6 linked regions of the Cricetulus griseus genome follow. The protein of the gene in region 4 purifies or fractionates together with the protein of the main gene of each other region. This does not show direct contact. Links are inferred from orthologs where the notes say so. Each region holds a gene or a part of one and is shown on either strand. Other genes may lie near its edges.

Region 1 (2,939 bases), on a different chromosome or scaffold from region 4:
TCTTCTTAATTATTCTGTATTCAGCTAATTAGGTTGAATCCACAGCCACCACAGTGTCCCCTCCTTAACAGGTTAGGAGCAGCTAGGAACATCTGGCTAATAGGTACTTTTTTCCATGGAAAAAACTCAATCAACTACCACCATCCTCTAGGACAAGGAGTACAAAACACAGTTTCTTCTTAGAACATCCTTCCAGTATTGAAGTGTCCTCTACGCTTCCCAGAATATTTCCTAAACTTCAAATAATACATTTCTTAAATGCTAGTATGAAAATCGGTGAAACTAGTCTAAAAAATGAGACTATGCAGAGAAGCAGGCTTCATAAACTTTAAAGTTCTAATGAGATAGGAACAAGAAATTTTATTTAAATAGTGGAGCCTTAATTTCTTTAATATAAAAACCCCCAAATCTGATGAAAACAAAGTTTTATATACCATATAAACAAGATTTGTCAGAATTGAAAGTGAAAGTTAAAGGAATTTACAGTTAGCTTTTAGCCCTCTTGGGACATTTAGATAAATCTTGATAATCCACCTGTTATTAGTGTGTCAATTCTATAATACATTGGGGAAAACTCTATTGTACTTCATGGTACAGTTTCATTTATTAAGTCTTTTCCATTAGTTCCATTATTAGTGATAGCTAAAAAGTGACCTTATCAATTACGTGAGTGACATTAGACTGTGGCAGAGCAAACCACATGTGGATTGCTTTCTGTAATTCACTAGTTTGCAGAAAGTAAACATCCTTTGATTTGTTCATGATATACTGAAATTGCCTATTAACACTGTGCAGTAAACTAGCTTGCTCTTCCTCTGTATTGTTACCATAGGACAGATTTTGTAATATAAAGGTAACCCGGAAAAAAAATGCTCACATATTATGTGGTGAAATGTCTTTCTCAAAAAAAGAAAAAAAAAAAAAAAGAGAGCGCCTTAAATAAGGGGGAAAATAAATCATGCAGAAGAGGCAGCTTCCTCATCTCCACCTGTCTCTTATGGACTCATTCATTGCCGCACATCACTTGCCACACTATCAGGTGACTCCTTTCTGCTTTGGTGACCGAAGGTTCCAGTGGAAGATCCTCTCCAAGAAGTTCAGATTCTCCACCTTCATCACCTAATGGATCATAAGGAAACTGAAGTTAGCTTAAGTGCAGAAAACAAAGAATGATGTGAACTGGACTAAATTAGCCCATGAATATGATGCTCAAAGCTTGTTTGACTTCTGGTGCATAGAGCACAGGAAAGAATACCAGGGGGCTGGAGAGATGGCTCAAAGAGTAAGAGCACTTGCTACTCTTCCGGAGGACCTCAGCTTGGTTCCCAGTACCCATGCTGGGCAGCTCAAAACCATCTATAACTACAGTTCTAGGGGATCTTATTTCCTCTTCTGACTTCTAAGGGTTCACACACATGTATTCGTGCACACAAAAATGAAAAAATAAAAAGTAAAGGAAGAGTCAGGGGCCAGTGAAATGGCTTAGTGGGTAAAAGCCTTTGCCACCACATGGTGAAAGGAGAGAACATATTCATGTGAATTGTCCTGGGATCACCATATAATATAGCATAGTGTACATGCTGCGCACGCGCGCGCGCGCACACACACACACACACACACACACACACACACACACACACACACACACTAAATGTAATAATGACAAAAAAAGTACCAGTCTGAATCTTCATTCAAACCACTGACTGATTTCTGGAATCCCTTTTTCCTTTCATTCACGAGAGCTAGTTCATAATTATGTCTGTTCACTAATGATAATAGAAATGGGAGATGGGAAAAAGCAAACATATCCAGTTCTATTTGTTCAAAATGGATATTCTACTCTTGTTTATTTCAAACTGAGAAAGCACAAATATGGAACATACTAACTAAGGCCCAGGATGTCATGCTGATTCTTGGGGACCAGGGTAAAGTTCCCCAGCTGAGACACTGAGCATTGAATAGGTACCGCTGCTCCTGTCCACAAGCTTGCAGTAGTCAGCTCTGCTGTTCAGAGCAAGGTTATTCTGGTACAATCTAGCTGACAACTTGTTTAGTGGGATGAATTCTTCAGTGGAATCCTAAAAATGTGCACACTAAGAAACAAAGATATTTCACTGATATACTGGGATTTTGTAATGCTCCCATTTGAGTTTAGCAGAAGAAAATGGCACCACTGACTAGAAATAGAGGGAGAGAAGTAACTGAATGTATGCACTTCTCTATGCAAGCCATTTTCCCTTAGCACTCCCCCTCCCCAACTTTTTCACAGCAATGTCAAAATACAGAGTGCACACTCAGGTCAAAAGTCAGTTTCTCTAACTAAAATATAACCATATATTTAAGAAAAATAAGTTTGGATGGTTTGATTTTGTTTCTAAAAGTTTTATTTATTTTCATTTTATGTGTATGGGTGTTTGCCTACATGTCTGCACACCATGTGCATGCGGTACCTACGAAGGCCAGACGAGGTTATCAGATCCTATGGAACTGGAGAAAACCCCCATGTGGGTGTTGGGAATAAACACGGGGCCTCTGGAGGAGCAGCCAGAGCTCTTAACCACCGAGACATCTCTCTAGTTTCAAGTTTGGCTCTTAAATTTAAAAAATTTACCGGGCCTGGAGAGATGGCTCAGTGATTAAGAGCACTGACTGCTCTTCCAGAGGACCTGGGTTCAATTCCCAGCACCCACACGGCAGCTCACAACTGTCTGTAATTCTAGTTCCAGGGAACACAACACCCATCACAAAACACCAATGCACATAAAATAAAAAAAAAAAAATTAAAAAAATAAAAAATTTACAATGAGCCAAGTGTTGTGGAGTATGCCTTTAATCCTGGCACTCTGGAGGCAAAGGTGGGCAAAACCCGAGTGAGTTCCAGGCCAGCCTGATCGGACAGTCAATTGCAGCGCATAATTTATTTCAAAAAACAACACAAC
Region 2 (4,258 bases), on a different chromosome or scaffold from region 4:
GAAAAATTAGAGCCATTTTAAACAAAACTAATCCATAAAATAGCAATTCCAGTCAGCCTCTCTATCTGAACCAAACAGAAAATGATTTGACTGATTGTTTTCTGTTTCTCCCAGGGATGCCAACACAGAAGAAAAGTAATTCATTATACAATGAGACCCTGCAGCAGTAGGTCCCACTCTCTCCTATGGGCTAGTTTAAAATGCATTTCCTTTTCAACAAGCCTAAAGCACAACCTGAAAGGATGAGTTACTGTGCTAGCTTCTTTGAGCTGTTCCTTAACAATCATGAACGGGACAGAAATTTAGGGTTACTTTTCAACACATGAGGCTCCAACAGAGGTAATATCTGAAACAAACACCTAACAAGGCTTTTATTCATCTCTTTTTGGATCTCTGTCAAAGGTAGGTCACTGCCTACTTCTGTTCTTCAGTTAGCTCCCTGACTTCCAACTACTGTTTTCAAAGCTCACGTTCTAACTCTTCAGTGCCCTTGAGAACACTTCACTGTCAAGTGTTCCTATCCATCTCAAACTTATTCAAGCCACCATCTTTAAATCAGGAAGGCAGAACCTTCTCAATGACTTCTGAATTTTTGCCCAGCTTACTACTGTCACAAATTTTAACTTCTTCCTGTCATTGTAGTGTCAACAAACAGGAAGTATATTTAATCCAGGAACCATAAAGGGATCTTTCACATAAGCCAACACATCCAAGTATATACATACAAATAAATATTTTATACTAACAATGCTTTAAAATTGACCAAAATGGTCAGGGATCTTTGAAAAACCCAGTATAGCTTCGCATACTCCAAAATAGAGACACTACTTTTAAAATGTCCATTACTGCAGGCAAGAGCTCCTATAGTTATACTTACCATCCCAGTCATAACTTTCAAAAGATACTGTAGCAGGTCCTAGATGGTTAAAGTACTCACAATGCATCCTCAACTCCAGTCTTGGTTTAAAAGCCACCGCCATCAATAACCTAGCCTAGCCAGAAGGATTCTTCCCCAATCACGGTACATGTGGGCTTCTTAAGGGCAGGATCATTGCTTATGGAGGTCCTTCTCTCCACACCTCATTTATTTGGGAATGGTGGGGAGGAACAGGTGGCCTAACTGAGGTCCACAGTCTTGCTACATCAAACCTCAGCTGCATACTTGATTAGACATGGAGTAGCAGGTTTACTTAACCTTCCAGGTTTGACTTGTATAAACAGGGATGATAATAACAACGTCCACCTCTTAGTGTTTTGAGAAGTAAATTCAGAGTTCAGTTACAGCAGTGCAGGGCTTATAGTAACCATCTCATAAGCATTACTCGTAACTATCTACAGGCTGCTCTGACAGTTTAGCAAAATGCAGGACAGTAAATACTCCTATGGTGAGTTGGCAAATGAACAGATTCACATTTTGTGCTTTCTACTTGAGACTTTTAAAATAAAGTCATCCTTTGGTGTCTGTGGATGGTTCCAGCACCCTCCACCAAACCAGAACCCTTGGTTGTTCAAGTTATATAAAATGGTGTGGTATTTGCTTATAATCTACACATTACTCCCTGTCATCTCTAGATTAGTTACAACACCAATACAAGGTCCAAGAGTTGTTACACTATACTAGTTAAGGAAAAATCAGCAGAAAAATGCCAGTGCGTGATCACACAGTATTTTTCCCCAAATGTTTTCCACCCAAAACTGGTTCAATCTGTGGGTGTGGAACCCACATACAATAAAGAATGAAAGCAATATTTCACTATTAAAAATGAAATTAGGCCAATCCAAGCGCAGTTTCCAAAATGTCGTTCTCTCTGAGCCCAGAAGGCCCAGTCAACACGAGCTGTTTAATATAAAGTGCTGTGATTTCCATACAAGGTTTGTTGAGGTGGCTCTCAACTTTGGGGACCCGGTAAAGTACACAAATGAGGATGGTGTGGGAGGGGCTGGAAACACTAAATGTTATGCCAAACTCTTTCTCCAAGAGGTTTTTTGGGAGTAGCCATGCTCCTCACCAGCCAGTCCTTGTTCTAGTTTTCACTTTTCCATAACCTGCTTTGTGCAAACTTAAAGTGTGTTTTAAACCGTCAGGTTAGGGACTTGGAATTATTTCTCCTACAGTCGTCAATCACCAAAATATTTGATCATGTGATCCATAACAAATAAAATAGGCAAAAAAATGTTCAAAAATAAAATTCTGATTTTTTTCTTAATTTTCTTCCAGAAAAGATATCCTCATACTTTTTCATTGTAACAATCCTGTGCAAAGGCATTTTGGGTCTCGTTACAGCGTGACGGCGATGATTTTTTAAAAAGTACAGAAACACACATCAGCCAGTTTTAAGAACAATTCCCCAATCTTTCTTTGCCCCGCCAAAGCATTTGAAATGCCACCTTTGACTCCATATGCATTTGACTTTCTCGCTCTGCTTAAGTTTGCAATCTGGGGTCTGCACGCTACCAGACACCAGCTTAATGACAGAATGGCGTGAGTTTTGTCAAAGTTGCCTCTGGCACTGACTTGCGCTACTAGACCCGGTCAGTGCACACGCCGGGTGCACCGACAGGCACCCTGGCTGCCAGGAGAGGCAGCAGCCGCTCACTCGCAGGCCCCAGGCCGGGCCAGCCGCCCAGCAGAACTCCAACAGGACCCCGCCAGGCCGCGCCTCACCACGGCCCCCAGCCCGGGAGCCCCCGGAACCTGCCGCAGCCCGGGAGCTTCGCTCTCTGTCCCGCGGGGCCCGACCTACCATGGCTCCGACTGTCCGAGCCCGAGCCTCTCACAGGCTCCCGGCGACTCCGGTCCTGAAGAACCCACCGACCCGCGGACCTGCCGACCCACTGACGTGGAACTTCCGGGAAGCGGTTCTCGCGATACTCGGAACCAGGCTGTGCGCCTGCGCAAGATCCCGGTAAGGCGGTCCGTGTTAAGCCCCGCCCCAGTTTCCAAGGTAACGCGGCCCTCTGCGCCTCCCGCTGCTGAGCTGGCTCAAGTGCAGCGCTGCGACCCGAGAAGGGCGTGGCTCTCAGCGGCTGTGGCCGCTCACCTTCGATCAGGTTCAGAAAGCCAAGAAGGAGCGCTGTGCTGCATGACTGCTGAATGCCGGCGGCAGCGGAGGAGCCCGGAAGCTCTGTCCGACCAGTTCCTGCTTCTGGCGGAGAAAACAAGGCTCTAGTAGGCTCCGGAACGAGGCCCAGAGCTGTGTCTGGATCTTGGATGACCATGGCCCAGGCCTAGAAGCTGTGGGCGGGAGTGATTGCCCCTCAGAGAGCACCCACCCTGCTTTTGCTGGGCTGTGTGCCTTCAGCTGACTGTAGCGTAGGTGCTTTCCTTTCAGATCTTCACGTGAATCTCGGCTCGTCTCCATTTTATTGAGTAGGAAACTAAGGCTCAAGGAAGTTGTGTGTACTGGCCAAGACGGCCCAGGAAGTAATGGTGTTAGGGTCTAGGCTCAGAGGATATGCCCTGAGAGCTTTGTGCTCTATCTACTACGCCAAAGGAGCTCTGTATTAAGGTAGCTGAATTTTAGAAAGTACCATGTCATAGGGGTTTCCAAGAAAAATGCAAACGCACTGTCTGCCGATGACACACACACACACACACACACACACACACACACACACACACACACACACCTTTTTAAAATGATAACACTATACAACGAGTGGAACGAAAAGTCTAGGTTTCCAGAAAGGAAGTGTGTAGACTGGGAGAGGGAAGCATAAGTTTTTATCAGGCAGCTCCTGGTTCTTGTGAGACTTAGGGGCCTCTGTTTTGGATAGTTTACAAATTTCCATTTTTACTATTCTGTATTTCAGTAAAAACAAATTTCCTATCAGTAGTGAGATTTTACACAATTGAGCCGAATAATCACATACATTGCATACTGTACAGCAACCAATTGCAAAATTAGTTTATTTTTTTTAGATGTGAACTGTATCTACTGTGGTAGAATAGTGGGGCTTCTATTATTTTTTATTCCTGAACTCTTGTTGCATTCAAGAGGGTGTATTTTGATTTGATACAGTGCCAAAAATACAAATTAAAATAATATGTCCATTCCCCGGGATCTCAGTTGACAATATTTGAATATATATAACACCAGGCACCAAAGATTTATGTAGTTCACCTTGTTGGAGATTCAAGCCCCGAAGTATGGTCTTCATTTTGTGTCTTAACTAGTCTTTCTCTGCCACAGTTCACCAACATTAAGTTCTAAAATTGTGACCTGTAATCAGCTCTTAGCAGGGACATGGTGGCATG
Region 3 (3,598 bases), on a different chromosome or scaffold from region 4:
GAGATAAACAGTCCTGGAAAAACAATAGTAGTCACAGGACTACACTGGAACCTTAGGCTGTATTTCTGCAAAGGATAAATTATGCAGAAGGCCACTGTTTACCAGTAATGTCTAACATAAAGCATGTGCAGCATGAGGTTAATAGCTGCTTTTGAGAACTAAAGCGAGCTGGGGAATGGAGCTAGCTCACTGGGCAGACACCATGTCCTGGACTTGGGCCCTAGCACAGCATAAAAAACCCAACAGGTAAGCTGGGTGGTGGCGCACACCTTTAATCCTAGCACTTGGGAGGCAGAGGCAGGGGGATCGAGGCCAGCCTGGTCTACAGAGAGAGTTCCAGGACAGCCTCCAAAACAATACAGAGAAACCCTGTCTTGAAAAGCCAAAAAAAAAAAAAAAAAACCCCAAAAACAAAAACCCAACATACTAACATATGCCGCCTACTGTCCCAGAACACAGGAGGTGGGGACAAAAGGTCAGAAGTTAGCCAGTGCCCTGGAGGCCCCTATCTGCCCCTGAAAAGGAAGTGAGGAAGGTAAAAGTAAAACCACTCAAGATATAACTCCCAATTTTGGGTTTTTGGTTTGTTTTTGTTTTTGTTTGTTTGTTTTGTTTTGTTTTTCAAGATAGGGTTTCTCTGTGTAACAGTCCTAGCTGTCCTGCTGGTCTCAAACTCACTGCAATCCACCTGCCTCTGCCTCCTGAGTGGTGGAATTAAATGTGTGTGCAACCATCACCTGGCTTAAAAATGTAATTCTTGTATGGTGCAAGTCGAATTTCTTTTTAATTTTCTATTTCACTCTTTTATGTGTCAGTGTGTTTGCCAGCATTCATGCCTATATACCTCATGTGCCTAGTGCCTACAGAGGCCAGAAGAAAGTGTCAGCTCTCCTGGAGCTGGAGTTATAGGTGGATTCTGGGAATCAAATCTGGATCCTCTGCAAGAATGGCAAGTGCTCTTACCTGGGGAGCTCCAAAGCCAACCCTACAAATGACATTCACAATTCCTTGCTTCATCTGGTACGGTCAAAAGCATGGCAGGAACACGATGTTTCAAAGCCCAACAAAGATTATTTTTCAAATACAGAATAACAAATATACTATTATTAATATATTTAGGAAAATTCATAAAAAAATTATTTTAAAAAAAATGAAAATTACAGTTTCCTTGGTGAGACCAAGGAGTGAATCTTCAATGTTTCTGTATCAGGATAGTCTTATCAACACATCAGAACTGTATATACAAGACCATTTTTAGTTTTTCACTCAGTGGTGCTTTTTTTTTTTTTTTTTAATGACAATGAAACATTAGGGAGAAAGAGTATTTTCTTCAGTTATGCCATTAAAGGCACACTTGTACCCACCTGCAAAGCAGCTCGAAATGATGCTACATTATCAAAGCATGGAAACACATAATTTACATATGTGTCCTGATCAGGATCTACTCCCAATTCAGTCATTATTTTCAGGATATCCATTATTCCTAGGAGATAAAACAAAGCAGGACAGAGATAAAGAACTTAGCATTCAGGGAAGTCATGAGGTTAACCTGGTTATTCCTCAGCAGTTTGTCTAAAAACAAAACACTGTAGCAATTGAAATAATCCAAATTCTAGGGAAGCAGACATGATTTACCTGTGCCACTCTCACCTCCTGAGACTGCCTGTCATCAATCAAATACCTTCACCTTATTTGGAGGCAAAATTCTACTTCTTGAAAAATAAGGCCCTCTATTTTACCCTTGACTCAACTAACACTTTTACTTTCAGGGCTGCCCTCCACACATCCATCTACAAACAACCCCTTCATAGTCTTTCTGTTTTTTGTTTGTTTGGTTGGTTTGGTTTGTTTTTTTTCAAGATAGTGTTTCTCTGTGTAGCTTTGGAGCCTATCCTGGCACCTCCTCTGTAGACCAGGCTGGCCTCGAACTCACAGAGATGCCCCTGCCTCTGCCTCCCAAGTGCTGGGATTAAAGGCGTGCGCCACTATGCTCAGCTCAACCCTGTATATTCGTATCTTTATGCTTCCAAACTACATCAAAGGAAGTTTGGTCCCAATTCCCAGCTTCTCTCATTTATGCCTGCTTACTGAAAATATTCTACATAGTGACTTTTCTATTCATGCCACAGAGAAGAGTGGCAGTAAGAGGTCTCAAAAAATCTTGTTGGAGGCTGGTGACAGTGAAATCCATGCCTCAAATTCAACAGCAATGCCACTGTCCTGTTACTGAAAACTCATTTCAAATTTTTCTGACCTTCATTTCCCAAGGTTCTTCTCACTCCTCACTAAGCAAGCACTCCTGAGCAGCTGCAGCCTCGGCATCCATCAACATCATCCTACCAGTTTATACTGGACGTTAACCGGAAAAGAGCTGGTTCATTTCACTGATGAGAATGTGGCTTTCTATCTAGCCCTGCATGCCATGACAGAAACTACACAAAAGCATACAGCCCCTTAACTGTTCCATGCAAGGCTACATAGCACACTTTCCTATCTTCAGGACCCCCAGAAGAGGAGGTCTAAAGAGTGCAGATGGTTTTAAATGCTGAAGGACAACTGACACTCTTGTACTATCAAGTCAGCATCTCCAATAATCCATAGTCTTCTGGGGTTTTCCAAGTAAAACTTGGATTGGATTAAAAATCTTGCTCTTGATTTTCAGATATCCTTAATCTAAAACCTGATTTGTAATTTCCAAGGGACAGAGAATGTTACTAGTCAGTGTAACAGATACCGAGTGGCGGAGACATGAAGCAGTATTACCAACATGCAGAAATGATGTTGAACCCTGACATAGTGACAGCATCTGTGGCCAGTCCCTCGGCCCTTGGCTTTTGGTTCCCTCATTAATATAATGTGAGCTCTCAGCACAGCATCCTCAAAGGAAAGGCAGATGTACGACAAACCCATCTAGTTCTAGCTAGAAACAGTCTTGTTCTTTTATGGTTCCTAACAATTAATGTAGCAGCCAACTGAAAGGGTAGACATTACAATACGGTGTCATCAGGAAACTTACCTGATACACAGACATTTCAAAAGGCACCAAAAGTATTTTCCTACCTGTATAAAGATAAAGAATACTAACATGCCCAAGCATCTGATCAATGCTTAAGTGTTCTGTGCTACAGAAATACTAGGTTAAAGGTGACTCCATGCTTTCAGAACTGGAGGATATACAAAGAGTTAATCAACTCATATTGTTTTCACAAAGACTTTTCTAAAAAGGATTCAGAGACTTTTATAACCAGAAACAATTAGGGAATACTTGTTTCACTATTTCCTTTAAACCAGAAGACAACTATATATTTAAAATAAAATTGCAATGTGAAAGTCTGCTAAAAGCACTTTTTTTGTTGTTTGTGCATTTTGTTTGTCACCCAATGTCACACTAACAACTCTGCATCTCATTCCAAAGCACATTATACTGTGAGATAAAATGAAAAAAGACCATTTTTGTTTCCCCAAGGGGGAGGCACTTCTGTTAAAAGCATCTTTTTATGAGATACTCTTTCTGATTACCAGTAATGCAAACCAAAGAATTAGATACTGTGCTCTAAAATTTAATATTTGTTCCATTTTATTCCTATCCTATAGACAT
Region 4 (3,598 bases):
CGGCGGTGGCAGTGGAGCCGGAGCGGGCGGTGGAGGCATGTTCGGTAGTGGCGGTGGTGGAGGGAGTACCGGAAGTCCTGGCCCAGGTACGAGAAGTGTCTTCTATCTAACGCCTTTTCATGTGGGTGAGGGCACGGTTTTCTTTCCCCGGTTTCCAGGCATGTCTGCTGCTTGAGGGGCGGCAACATTACTAATTATGAGATTTCCAATTAATTTCCAATTAATAGAAGTCTTCCTACAAATGTCAAATTTTTCAAAGAAATGTGTGTTCATCTTGCAGTACAGTAGCTGTCCTCCCCCATCCAGTTTCACTTTTTGTGGTTTCAGTTACACGCGGTCAAGCTTCAGTCTAAAAATACTACCATTGTCTCGACGAGAGAGACCACATGCACGGAGCTGTTATTACAGCCTATTGTTACAACTGCCCTGTTACTATGAATTATTGTTGTTCATCTCCTGTCTTTTTGCACTGTGAACTTTACCACAGGTCTGTGTGCAGCTGCAGTTTTAGGGGAGTCTTGAACCATACATCTCAGGATAATATGTGGGTAATCTCCAAAAGTCTGAGAGTCCACATTTATCCAGAAGATGCCTTTCCCAAATGAGTTTTGAGTATCCTCCCCCCACCACACTTTTTTTTTTTTTTTTTTTTTTTTTTTTTGGTTTTTTTGAGACAGGGTTTTTCTGTGGCTTTGGAGGCTGTCCTGGAACTAGCTCTTGTAGACCAGGCTGGTCTCAAACTCACAGAGATCCACCTGCCTCTACCTCCCGAGTGCTGGGATTAAAGGCGTGCGCCACCAACGCCCGGTCCACCACACTTTTTTTAAGAGGGTCAATTGTTCTGTTATTCTGGGAGACATTCAAACAACTCTCATACCTGTTCCATGGTAGATGTGTGTTATAGTCCTCTGCATGGCACTGCAGACTGCAGATTACACTGTAACACATTGAGTCACAGAAAATCCTACCTCTGCAGGGTTAGCAGGAAAGCACTGTGATGGTATGTGAACGAACTACTTCTAATTTTGACACGCATATATTACAGTCCGTGCTTATGAGCTTCCGGGTATGGCTGTGATCCCCATGCATGGCTTTTCAACCATTAATTTATTTAGATTTATTATCATTACACCATGTTTGTGGGTGCAGAATGATGGGTTTGGTGTTTGTTTCTGATGTTAACTTGAGCACTTCTTCATGGTAATACAGGTCTTACAGAGCATCATTGGGTATCGTGTCTAATGACCCATACCAGATGGAGTGACAACCCTATAGCACAACTGACTTGAATGCTGTTTCCTGTTTTCTGTGTGATATGCTTTGCTGAGCATGGCTTTCCTTTTATTCCAGATAACTTGTAAATGCTTCAAACTGTCACATCAGAGTGTGTGAAGGCTGCTCCTCTGAAGAGCTTTATCACTCTTCCACCAAAAATAATGAAAATGAAAGTGGTAGCCATGTTTCCCATCAGTACATTATTGTATTGGGGTTTCTCACCAGGGTCATCTTATTGAGCTATTTTAATGTAGCTCTAAGTCTTGGCCTGACTACTTGCCGTTGCTTTTCCCCTTTGCCTGGGCGGAAAGAAGCTTCTCAGTATTAACTCCTCCAAGCTGCCAGTCTGAGCCCTGCCTGTGTTGCCACAGGGGAACTCACCTGTCTTTTTCCCACAGTGCATCCTGCTAACTCTTGGGCGAAGCCTGTGTAGGCTGCTCCCCCGAGTGTGTGCCCCGTCTGTTAACAGCCTCTCTGATGTTCCCTTTGTCTCGTTGCTGGCTTAGGGTATGGCTTCTCGCACTACGGATTTCCTCCTTACAGTGGGATCACTTTCCACCCTGGAGCCACTAAATCCAACTCTGGGATCACCCATGGTAAGTCAGACGAACACCAAGAAGAAAAACACAGGGACTACAGCATCATCGTTAAAAGTTTTAGAAAATAACTTTCCAATAAATTAATATTTTTGTATAATTCTAGGACAGCATAACACATATTTCTAACATGTATTTATTCATTACATTGCATGAATGGAAGTAGGGCAGTGGTGCAATGCAAAAAATATAGGCTTAACTACCCAAACATAAAAATACCACCTTTTCTGTCTTTTCACCTCAAATACGATCCTTTTGAAATCAGTTTTCAGTTTGTAAGGTTGGCCGTTTCCACTCCCATGTATCCTCTGAGTACCTGTGCTTAAAGTCTGCTCATAGTCTACAGGAAGGGATATTCTTTTATGCCATGGAAATTATCCTATAATGCCTTTTCATATGTAGTACCTGTTCATGCCAGATGCAGACATCACTGTAACCTTTTTTAAAGATTAACTGACATTGTAGTTTTCCTATAATCAGCTAAAACTCACCCTACAAAATAGAACTATTGTTCCCATTAACCATGACTTCATGACCCCTGTGCAAGGAGAACACAAGACTTGGCCCTGTCCAGACAGAACATGGAGTTCAGAAACTTTTATTTACTCTCTGAAGACAGCGCTAGTGGCGGTAGAACTGTGGTAGTTTTGTACCAGGTTTGCCCAGGAGTCTTAGGTACCCTTGTTGTACCTGTCACATAACAGTTCCAACAACAGTGTGACTGAACATGGAGTGTGGGAGCCCCACCAGGCCAGACTATGAGTGGAGAGAGCTCTCACAGTTTCCCTTGTTACTCCACATTCAGAAAGAAAAATAACTACTTTCAAGAACTTTCCATTTGTTCAGCATGTAGAACTTTATCTCATTTTTCTCTTTCACAGATAAACAAAACAAGATTCATTCACTGTTTTTGTTTGAGAAAGCATGGCACTGTGTAACCTTGGCCTTGTGGTGCTTCTCCTGCTTCTGTCTCCTGGGTGCGAGTGAGGAGATTATGGGTTTGAGTAGCCGTTTCTGGCTGCAAAATGAGATGGGAGTTTTTGGAAAATGAGCTTTAAAATGTTCCTGAATACTTAAAGTATTACCAAAACATGCCAGGGTGTTGTGGTGCACACCTTTAATCCCAGCACTGGGGAGGCAGAGGCAAGAGGATCTCTGTGAATTCAAGGCAATGTGGTCTACATAGTGAGTTTGAGGCCCACCAGAGCTACACAGCAAGACCCTGTTTCCAAAAGTAAATAAATTAATAAATAAATACATGGAAAATATGTCCAGAACATACTATTTATGTTATGAAGATTTATACCTTTCCATTTTCAACAAACCTGCCTTCTTTCTTTTCTCTGCCCTGTGTTGAAACTATGAGTTTTATAGTTTGATGAATAGATTTTATTAAGGAAAAGATAATTTTTTGCATTTATCCTAGGAACCATAAACACAGAATCAAAAAATAACCCTAAAGACTGTGACAAGAGTGGCGACAGAGAGGCTCTGAATCTCTCTGAGAAGGAAACAGCAGGACAGGATAAGGAGTCTGGCGTGTCCAGCACCAAGAGTGATACGGTTGCACTGTCATTCCCCATGGAAGACAAGGAATGGGGCGCTGGCTTTCGGGGTAGGTGAGCGTGCCCACAAGGGTTTCCACGGGCAGCTGGGGCGGGTGACCCTCTAGGTACAGGAAGCTGTCTCCAGAGCATGGGTTTCCTTCCTGTTAATCTAAAGAGGGT
Region 5 (4,122 bases), on a different chromosome or scaffold from region 4:
TGGAACCAAGTCCATCTCTCTCCTTCCCTCCAACCCGTTTCCCCATCTCACCTGAGCCTCCTGCACCTTCCCTGCCTGGGTCTCCACAGGGTCAGAGGCTGGGGAGGAGGGGGAGCAGACGTGGTTACAGTGGGGGGGGCAGTTAAAGGGATGAAGGATTCACAGTGGTGGAGGCAACGAGAGAACCCACTAACCTAGTTATCCTGGAGTCAGGGACGGTAGTAAAACTGTCGGAGACGGGGACAGGCATATTTTAGAGTGGAAGACACATGTGTGAGGTGGAAAGGCTGAGGGGGAGGTTTAGGAGGAGAAAGCAGGTGCGACAGGACTGAAGGAAGACTTCAGAGTCAGGCAGGACGCGGTAGTGTGAGTGCCAGCCAGGAGAGAGAGGGAGGGCGAAGTTTTTCAAGAGATGGAAATGGGGATACCTCGGCTGGAGTTGAGTGTGGGAGAGGAGATGGAGTGGAGGCAGGAGGTTTAGGAGAGACACAGGAACTGAAGGAATGAGATGGAAAGGGGCAGCAGGGGTTCCCGAACATCCTACAGTTGCCCCTAACACCAGATAACCTTAGCAACCGGGATCGTAGCAACTTTGGTCCTTAGCAACGAGGGTTCTCAGCAACCAAGGTGCGAGAAACGCGATCATTAAGAACTTGGCAAACGGACCCTTCAAGAAATCTCACAACCCAGAATCCCACCAACCTAGCAACACCGACCACTTAGCAACGGCCCTCCAAATCCCACTCCCTTCGTGCAGCCCCTTCCTCCCACCCCACCGAGCCTGTCCTCGGGCCCCGGGGCCTGCAGCCCAAAGCCAGGCCCCGGCGCGGCCCGACCCTCCCACCTGGGCCCCCGACTCACGATCCGGCTCGGCCATGGGAGCGGGGTGGGGGCCCTCGGAGCTGTCACCGACTGCTCTGTCCCGTGACGGCACCGGAAGCAAGAGGGGACCGAGATAGGCCAGAGGACTACAACTCCCGGCAGCCCACGCCGTCCTCAGCAAACCCTTTCGCGCGACGAGCCGCTCGTGGCATAGAACTACAAATCCCAAAAGGCCTGGTGCCTGAAGCCATATTGATAAAGGGCGTCTGGAAAAAGTGGGGAAACTCAGAGAGCCGGCGTGCATCTCATTATCCTGATTGGTTCTGGCGACGCACGGGGGCGGAGCGTAGCCATTTAGCTTGTTTTTATTGGGTAGATGAGGGGGCGTGTTGGGGAATTCCCGGCAGGGCGGAAGCGCTGGAGCTCACCGCAGAGCCCAGCGTCGGGCGGGCGACCACAGGGGGCCACCGAGGTGGCTGGGCCATGGCCGGGGTCGCGTGCTTGGGGAAAAGCGCGGACGTCGACGAATGGTGCGACAGCGGCCTAGGCTCCCTGGGTCCCGACGCGGCGGCTCCCGGAGGACCAGGGCTGGGCGCAGAGCTGGGCCCGGAGTTGTCGTGGGCGCCCCTGGTCTTTGGCTACGTCACTGAGGATGGGGACACGTGAGTAAACCTTAAATTACCTACCAAACGGAGCCCCGGGATCCTACCTGAGCCTCCATCGGCTTGTGATTCTGTGACTTACTTACTACCTTCTGGTTCCTACCCCTGACTTCCGATACGAGCCTTCCTGACCCATACATAACTCCCCCCACCCCCAATCCTAAGTTGTGAGTCTGGTTTCACCCACGGTCAAGCGTCTCGCCTTTCTTGGAACTGTAAATTTGTGCTCCTGGAATCCGCATCCTTACCATGGGTCCCCATACCGCATCTGAACCTTTCCAACCCGGTCCCCCCAGACCTTTCCCACGAATTCTGACCTCTTGCTTCCAAATGTGGCTTTTGATCCGTAGCTACTCTTGTATAAGCCAGATTTTGATTCCCAAAATTAGTCCTTGGCCCTGAGTCTACGACTCTTGACACTTCCAGCATTGATTTGCAATTAAGAAATTGAAGTGATGCCCGGCCGTGGTGGCGCACGCCCTTAATCCCAGCACTGCAGAGGCAGAGGCAGGCGGATCTCTGTGAGTGCAAGACCAGCGTGGTCTACAGAGTGAGTCCCAGGACAGCCAAGGTAGTTAGTTACACAGGGAAACCTTGTCTCAAAAAACAAGACGACAACAGCAACAAGAGAGAGAGAGAGAGAGAGAGAGAGAGAGAGAGAGAGAGAGAGAGAGAGAGAGAGAGAGAGAGAGAGAGAGGAAAGAAAAGAAAAGAAAAAGAGGGGAAAAAGGAGAGGGAGATTGAAAAATAATTGTAAAATTTGACTGGGGAGAAGGGCAGCTGTGGTGAAGGGCTATGCAAGGGATTGTACCCGGGATTTTTTGTCCTTTGTGCTTTTTGCGTGTGCCCAATGACTCAGTGCCTGACCCATGAAGGGAACATAATAAGCACTCTTAAAGAACCAGGTGTAATTTCCTTAATTTTCTTATTTTTCACTTTCTATGTTATTGGTCCTTGTTCCTTTATTATTTTATTCTGATTACTTTTAGATTTGAATTTTGTAATTTTCTTTCTCCTCCTTCCTTTTTTGGGGGGGTCGGGCAGTCTCATGTAGCCCATGATGGCCTTGAGCTTGCTGTTTAGCTGAGGATAGCCTTCAATTTTTCATCCTCCTCTAAAGTATGCATCATTATACTCAGCCAGGGTGTGTGTGTAGACTAGAGGATAACCTTGGGTTGTTTTGTTTTGAGACAGTCTTTCACTGGTCCAGTACTCAACACATCGGCTAGGTTAGCTGGCCGGAGAACCTTAGCTTTTTTCGAGACAGATTTTCTCTGTATTGCTTTGGAGCCTGTCCTGGAGCCTCTCTCTGTAGACCAGGCTGGCCTGGAACTCTCCTCCCCGGTGTTGGATTAAAGGCATGTACCACCAACACCTGGCTGCTTTATGTAATTTGAAGGTTTGTTATTGGAGCCATAGTGTGTGTGTGTGTGTGTTGCTGCCAGTTAAGCCTGAGGTCTTGCACATGTTAGGCAGGTGCACCCCCAACCCACATCCCAGCCCCTGCCCTAGTTTTCCACTTTTTTTGTATTTTGTTTTTTGAGTCAGGCCTTCACTGTGTAGCCTTACACTTGTGATCCTCCTGCCTTAGCTTGGGAAGTACTAAAATTAGAAGCTGGGGCTAGGGCTCTCATACCCAGTTTGTTTGTCTTTGTGTATGTAAGTATGCTTGTGTTTGGAGGCCAGTGATTGGTGTTCACTGTCTACCTCAATTGTTCTACACGTTGTTGTTATTATTTGAAACAAGGTTTCACAATGTAGTCCTGGCTGACCTAGAATTTACCATGCAGACTAGACTAGCCTGGAATTCACAGGGATCCACCAGCTTCTGCCTCTTTCACACAAGCCACCATTTTTGGTTTTGTTTTTGCTTTTGTTTTGTTTTTTGGTTTTTTTGTTTGTTTGTTTGTTTGTTTTGTTTTTTCGAGACAGGGTTTCTCTGTGTAGCGTTGGAGCCTATCCTGGCACTCGCTCTGGAGACCAGGCTGGCCTCGAACTCAGAGAGATCCGCCTGCCTCTGCCTCCCGAGTGCTGGGATTAAAGGCGTGTGCCACCAACACCCGGCTTTGTTTTTTTTGTGACAGAATTGCACTATTTAGTATTTGGCCCTGCTAGTCTAGAACTTACCATGTAGCCCAGTCTGGCCTTGAAGTAACAATCCTTCTGCCTCACCTTCCCCAGGTGCTGGAATTTGAGCTACTACAGGTAGCTAAATTCTTTAAAATAAACACTGGTAAGACAAAGTTGGTAGCTGGACCTGCTGTCACAGGCTTGTCAGCCCAGCTACTCGGGAGGCCGAAGCAGGAAGAACTTGAACTCCCGATCAGCCTGGGTAGTTTATGAAGACCCTTGTCTTATCTCAGAACACCAATCAGGCAGACAAAGGAAGTTGCTGGATTCGCTCCTGTCCCTGGCTCTCCGGGACACTGAAGTGTTTCCAGTTATGGCTACAGTTTGCAGCATACAGTAGACACTCGTGTTTACTGACCTCTGCCTCTGTCCCCAGGGCCCTGCACTTGGCCGTGATACATCAGCATGAGCCCTTCCTGGATTTCCTCTTGGGCTTCTCCGCCGGCACTGAGTACCTGGACCTGCAGAATGACCTAGGCCAAGTGAGCCACTGGGGATGGGCCCCCTA
Region 6 (4,171 bases), on a different chromosome or scaffold from region 4:
GAAACTGGCCCTCTCTGAATTCCTGGGATGCTAGGAATTGCAGACCCTTGGGTCTTACTCTCTGCCTCACTCATGGGAGCTGTGTCACCATCTATGCCTCCTTGCTCCTATTGAGATGTTTTTGGAGACCCACGGACCATTCCTAATCGGCTACTGTTGCAGTACTACCAGGTGTTGGCCGTAGAGCTGGAGGCACAAGACTACCAAACATGCCCAGTGATGCTGTGGTGACGGGAAAGGACCAGGCGCTTTACGCCCTAGGGTGTTGATTTGGATTCACCAAGAACGGCATTTTGCCAGGTTCAGGAGGCACCTTGATGGTTCCACAGAGCCTGGACAGTGAAGTGAAACAGCCAGCTACTCCAGGACATGGCTAGCACCCCAGCTTTCCTAGGTCCCCCAAAGATGAACGATGCCCCCCAGGTCAGCAGGAAGTAGTCTTGAAAACACAATGGTCTCATCCCCACCTCACCTGCTACCCCTTTCTAATGACTCATCTTTTTATAATAAGAGGGAGGAATATTAGTATTTAGGCATCTATCCTTGGCCTGTTCTGACAGGATACGCCCTCAGCTGCTGTCAGCTCCCACCCTTCTTTCTTTCTTTCCCTCCCTCTCTCTCTGCTGGTGCTCCTGTCTCCCCCTCCCCTATTTATGATCTCTTTCCCTAATAAAAAGCCCTTCTCTGCTTGAACCCTGTCTCATGCCATCTTTCTTGAAGGCTGCTTTTCTTAAATTACAACAATGGGTGCACACAAACAAAATGCATTTCATTTCAAAACAACTTTTCAAAATTCAATTGTGATTACAGGTAATTCTTTTTACCTTAACAGGCCTGGAAACACAGTTTTCTTTACATCTGTCCATGTCACCTGAAGAGAGAAACAAGAGCCTTTCATTGACAGGAAGCCACGTACTGCTGTGCTCCGCAGTCACTGCCTCTGACAGACAGGCCTCTGTGACCTGCAACCTCACACTTCCCACTGACAATCCTGCACCCAGCTCCTCACATCCTCTCATTCTCTTCCCTCCTGGGCTTGTTCTTTCTGCTCTAAAACATGATGCCCAGCATATACAGCCTGCTTGGGTTACCCATTTGCTGCACAGCTACCCCAGGCCATGGTCCCATCTCCCATAACCCTTGAACAACAAAGCTCACCTACTCTTTTCCCAAGCCATTCCCATTGGGCCTTTTGAATCCCACGGTATTGCCAGTCTCTCAGCTTCCCCTACGGTGGCAAACCCAGCACTAACTTGATTCCTGGGGAACAGGTTTCAGCCAATCACATTTGCCCATTTCCCAGTTTATCTATTACCTTGCAAGCTGTCACTTCCTACCCTCCTGGCTTGGCCTCATTTTTTCCCCTAATCCCAGTCCTTCGCCTTCTCATCTACATCAGATGACCTTCACAGATCCCATTCAGCCAAGATTTACAACTCCATGTAAGAAAAGTTCTCCTGACACAGCAGGAATCAGCCTTGGGCTTCCCTTTTCAGATACGGGTTGCAGTCAGGACAAACACCTGCTTGCAGTCAGGACAAACACCTGCGTGTTATTGAAAAGCCCCTACTGCAAAGATGGGGGAGGCTAGGCAGGAGATGGAGGCATTAAGTGAAGGACTGGGGCTGTACCCACCTCACCTGTAGGAAGCCTGTAGGAAACGGAGCCCTGGGACCAGATGCCAGCTTGGCTAAATGACCTGCATTTTAGCTTTCCCATGATTAGCTATACCAGGATCCTATCCCTAAGATATTTCTATTTCCTACATTTGCAGTGGAGCCAGGATTTTGTTTGTTTGGTTTGAGATGGGGTACCTCTGTGTAGCCCTCCTAGGTAGTCTGGAACTCAGAAGTCCTTCTACCTGCTCCCAAGTGATGGGATTAAAGGAATTTGGGACCATATCAGTCTTGTATTTGTTTTTGAGACAGTGTTTCATGTAGCCCAGGCTGGCTTTGAACATGCTATAATGGAGGATCACTTTGAACTTCTGATCTTCCTGCCTCCACTTCCCCAATGGGAATTACAAACATGGTCACCGTGCCCAGTGTATGCAGTGCTAGGATTTGAATCCAGGGCGTGGTACACAAGAACTACATTCCCAGATAGGCCTCACTTTTGGGAAGGGCTCTCACATTGTATCGGAAGCTAGCTTCAAACTCAAGGCTACCCTCCTGCCTCAGACTGCTGATGTGAGCAACCACGCTGGGTGTGGGGATGGGGAGATGACTTATTTTTGTTTTTTTTTGTTGAGTCAGGGTCACAGTTCAGGCTGGCTTCCGATCTGCCATGTAACTTGTGATCCGCCTGCCTCCACCTCCTCACCATCGGAATTAAAGGCGGGGGCTACCATGATGGTTTAGGCAGTGCTGGGGGCCGAGCCCGGGGCTTCCGGAATATTCTACAAGCTGAGCTTCCGCGGGTCTACACCGACACCGACTGCTCAAAAGGCTGCGGTGAGGGGGCAGCACGACCCCGGGCGTCTCTACAAGGGGACCCCCGCCTGGTCCCCACTGAGCCGCAGTTGCTTCGTCCATACCACCGCCATCGGTTTGCAAATCACCCGGTATGGCCGGTGGTCCGGGTCCCATTCCCACCAGAACCTAAACCCAAGGAGGGACGAGGCCACCTGGATCTCCGCTGCACCGATGCGAGCCCCGAGAGACAGCCCGCCACCCCCGGGCCCCTCTCCGCCCCGCGTCGCTCTGCAGCGCCCAGGCTCTCCCTGGCCCGCCGGGTCCCCTTCCTACCCCGGGGCAGGATCGCGTCTCCAGCGAAGACTCCAAGCGATTCCAGGAGCTCAGCCGTTACAATTCAAAGGTTCTCCTTTGAAACAGGAGTTAAACCCTCTCCTCCGGAAGCTGATTGGCTGGAGGCGAAGCGGCGCCGTCCTGTGATTGGCCCGCCGTGAACGCGACGACGGGAAGCTCGTTCCGGGCCGTAGCCGGGGCGCAGGCGCACTGAGCCGTCAGCGCCCGGAAGTGGTGCGCCAACGGCCTGTCCGATCTGTGGCCGTTCTGTCGTTCGCCGTGCTCCCCAGGATCGGGCGTTTGCCGGTCACACAGCAGCCCTTCGGGTTCAGGGTTGCCGCGAAGGTGATCAGCTCGGAGGAGGTGAGTGAGCGTCTCGAACGTGCCAGTGAGTAAGATGGCGAGAAGGGCAGGCTGGCCGAGTGAGCGGGAGGGTGCTCGGCGCTCGGCTGCCTGCCCTTGGCGCGTGCGCAGTGGGCGTGCGCTCGGAGCGATCGATCGGGCACGATTCGCGCCTCCATCTTTCCAGAAGAGAGCGGGAGACCGGGACCCTGATCCGGGGGTACGGAACGGGCTCGGGTGGCAGGCGCAGGGAGACGGGCTGGTGCGGGCGCCGGGGGCTGGCGTGGAGAGGGCCCGGAGCCAGCGGAGAGGGTGGCGGGAGGCCGGACGCCCCGGAGCCGAGCGGCCCGGCCTGCACCCCGAGCCAGCGAGCGAGCGAGCGAGCCTCGGGCCTGGGTCCCGGCGGCTCCCTGCTTTCCCCTCCGCCCGAGCGGGGTGGGCCCCCTGCAGCCCCGGGCCGGGCTCCTCCCGCCCGCCCGTGCTTCCTCCCGGGGACTCGGGTGAAGGCTCGGCCGCCGCCCCCCCCACCCCCCTTTACACCTCGAGACCCAGCCCCGGGCGTCCCTGGCGGGAGCGGAGGCTGCGCGGACCGGCCCTCACCCTTGGGGGCCGGCTGTAGCCTGACCGGGTGCCCTGGAAACTTTCTGGAACTCGTGTCACTCTCTGTCGAGTCCCAGTGTCTCATGCAAGGGTTAGGCTTGTACACGCTTATTTCTAACGTGAAGTGCACGAGTCTCTGGATGCCTGCGTGTCGAGATTAATGCCGATCGGGTGCTCGGGGTCGTCGTACCCGGCGGTAGCAAGAGCTCGATGAGTGGTAACTGTTGAGGTCTCCCGACAGTGCCGTGCTGTGTGTGGCCTGGAGGGTCCTGCTGCTGCTGCTGCTGCTGCTGCTGCTGCTGCTGTTGTTACTGAGCCTAGGGCGTCTGGCAGGCTTAGCAAACACTGTAACCCCTGTCTGTAACCCCCAGTCCTCCCCTCCCGCTGTTCCCAGATTCCGATAGCCAAACTCTAACCGCACACGTACTGGTAATTATCAGATTATTTGCCCAAGTTGGTAACTGAAGCCGGCGTCTTCAGTT

The links.
Region 1: the proteins of Nfkb1 (region 4) and Spag9 purify together in Homo sapiens (affinity purification with mass spectrometry; 5 studies listed by BioGRID and IntAct, with this or other methods). This does not show direct contact. The link is inferred for Cricetulus griseus from reciprocal best matches to the Homo sapiens genes NFKB1 and SPAG9.
Region 2: the proteins of Nfkb1 (region 4) and Copb2 purify together in Homo sapiens (affinity purification with mass spectrometry; 5 studies listed by BioGRID and IntAct, with this or other methods). This does not show direct contact. The link is inferred for Cricetulus griseus from reciprocal best matches to the Homo sapiens genes NFKB1 and COPB2.
Region 3: the proteins of Nfkb1 (region 4) and Lrpprc purify together in Homo sapiens (affinity purification with mass spectrometry; 3 studies listed by BioGRID and IntAct, with this or other methods). This does not show direct contact. The link is inferred for Cricetulus griseus from reciprocal best matches to the Homo sapiens genes NFKB1 and LRPPRC.
Region 5: the proteins of Nfkb1 (region 4) and Nfkbib purify together in Homo sapiens (affinity purification with mass spectrometry; 7 studies listed by BioGRID and IntAct, counting the BioPlex papers as one, with this or other methods). This does not show direct contact. The link is inferred for Cricetulus griseus from reciprocal best matches to the Homo sapiens genes NFKB1 and NFKBIB.
Region 6: the proteins of Nfkb1 (region 4) and Aurka purify together in Homo sapiens (affinity purification with mass spectrometry; 4 studies listed by BioGRID and IntAct, counting the BioPlex papers as one, with this or other methods). This does not show direct contact. The link is inferred for Cricetulus griseus from reciprocal best matches to the Homo sapiens genes NFKB1 and AURKA.

What each region holds. Positions count from the first base shown.
Region 1 is NC_048600.1:107,038,361-107,041,299, reverse strand, and holds part of Spag9 (C-Jun-amino-terminal kinase-interacting protein 4), read right to left. Parts: intron 1,120-2,939; coding exon 1,004-1,119; 3' UTR 1-1,003. UniProt on the Homo sapiens protein: The JNK-interacting protein (JIP) group of scaffold proteins selectively mediates JNK signaling by aggregating specific components of the MAPK cascade to form a functional JNK signaling module.
Region 2 is NC_048597.1:207,021,177-207,025,434, reverse strand, and holds the start of Copb2 (coatomer subunit beta'), read right to left. Parts: upstream 2,894-4,258; 5' UTR 2,748-2,893; coding exon 2,745-2,747; intron 1-2,744. UniProt on the Homo sapiens protein: The coatomer is a cytosolic protein complex that binds to dilysine motifs and reversibly associates with Golgi non-clathrin-coated vesicles, which further mediate biosynthetic protein transport from the ER, via the Golgi up to the trans Golgi network.
Region 3 is NC_048598.1:86,392,285-86,395,882, forward strand, and holds part of Lrpprc (leucine-rich PPR motif-containing protein, mitochondrial), read right to left. Parts: intron 1,484-3,598; coding exon 1,365-1,483; intron 1-1,364. UniProt on the Homo sapiens protein: May play a role in RNA metabolism in both nuclei and mitochondria. In the nucleus binds to HNRPA1-associated poly(A) mRNAs and is part of nmRNP complexes at late stages of mRNA maturation which are possibly associated with nuclear mRNA export.
Region 4 is NW_023276806.1:23,885,648-23,889,245, forward strand, and holds part of Nfkb1 (nuclear factor NF-kappa-B p105 subunit), read left to right. Parts: coding exon 1-86; intron 87-1,781; coding exon 1,782-1,871; intron 1,872-3,297; coding exon 3,298-3,486; intron 3,487-3,598.
Region 5 is NC_048602.1:7,104,084-7,108,205, forward strand, and holds the start of Nfkbib (NF-kappa-B inhibitor beta), read left to right. Parts: upstream 1-1,226; 5' UTR 1,227-1,305; coding exon 1,306-1,484; intron 1,485-3,990; coding exon 3,991-4,096; intron 4,097-4,122. Other genes in the region: Sirt2 (NAD-dependent protein deacetylase sirtuin-2), read right to left, coding at 52-98, 862-877. UniProt on the Homo sapiens protein: Inhibits NF-kappa-B by complexing with and trapping it in the cytoplasm.
Region 6 is NC_048599.1:6,971,056-6,975,226, reverse strand, and holds the start of Aurka (aurora kinase A), read right to left. Parts: upstream 2,887-4,171; 5' UTR 2,748-2,886; intron 872-2,747; 5' UTR 867-871; coding exon 825-866; intron 1-824. UniProt on the Homo sapiens protein: Mitotic serine/threonine kinase that contributes to the regulation of cell cycle progression.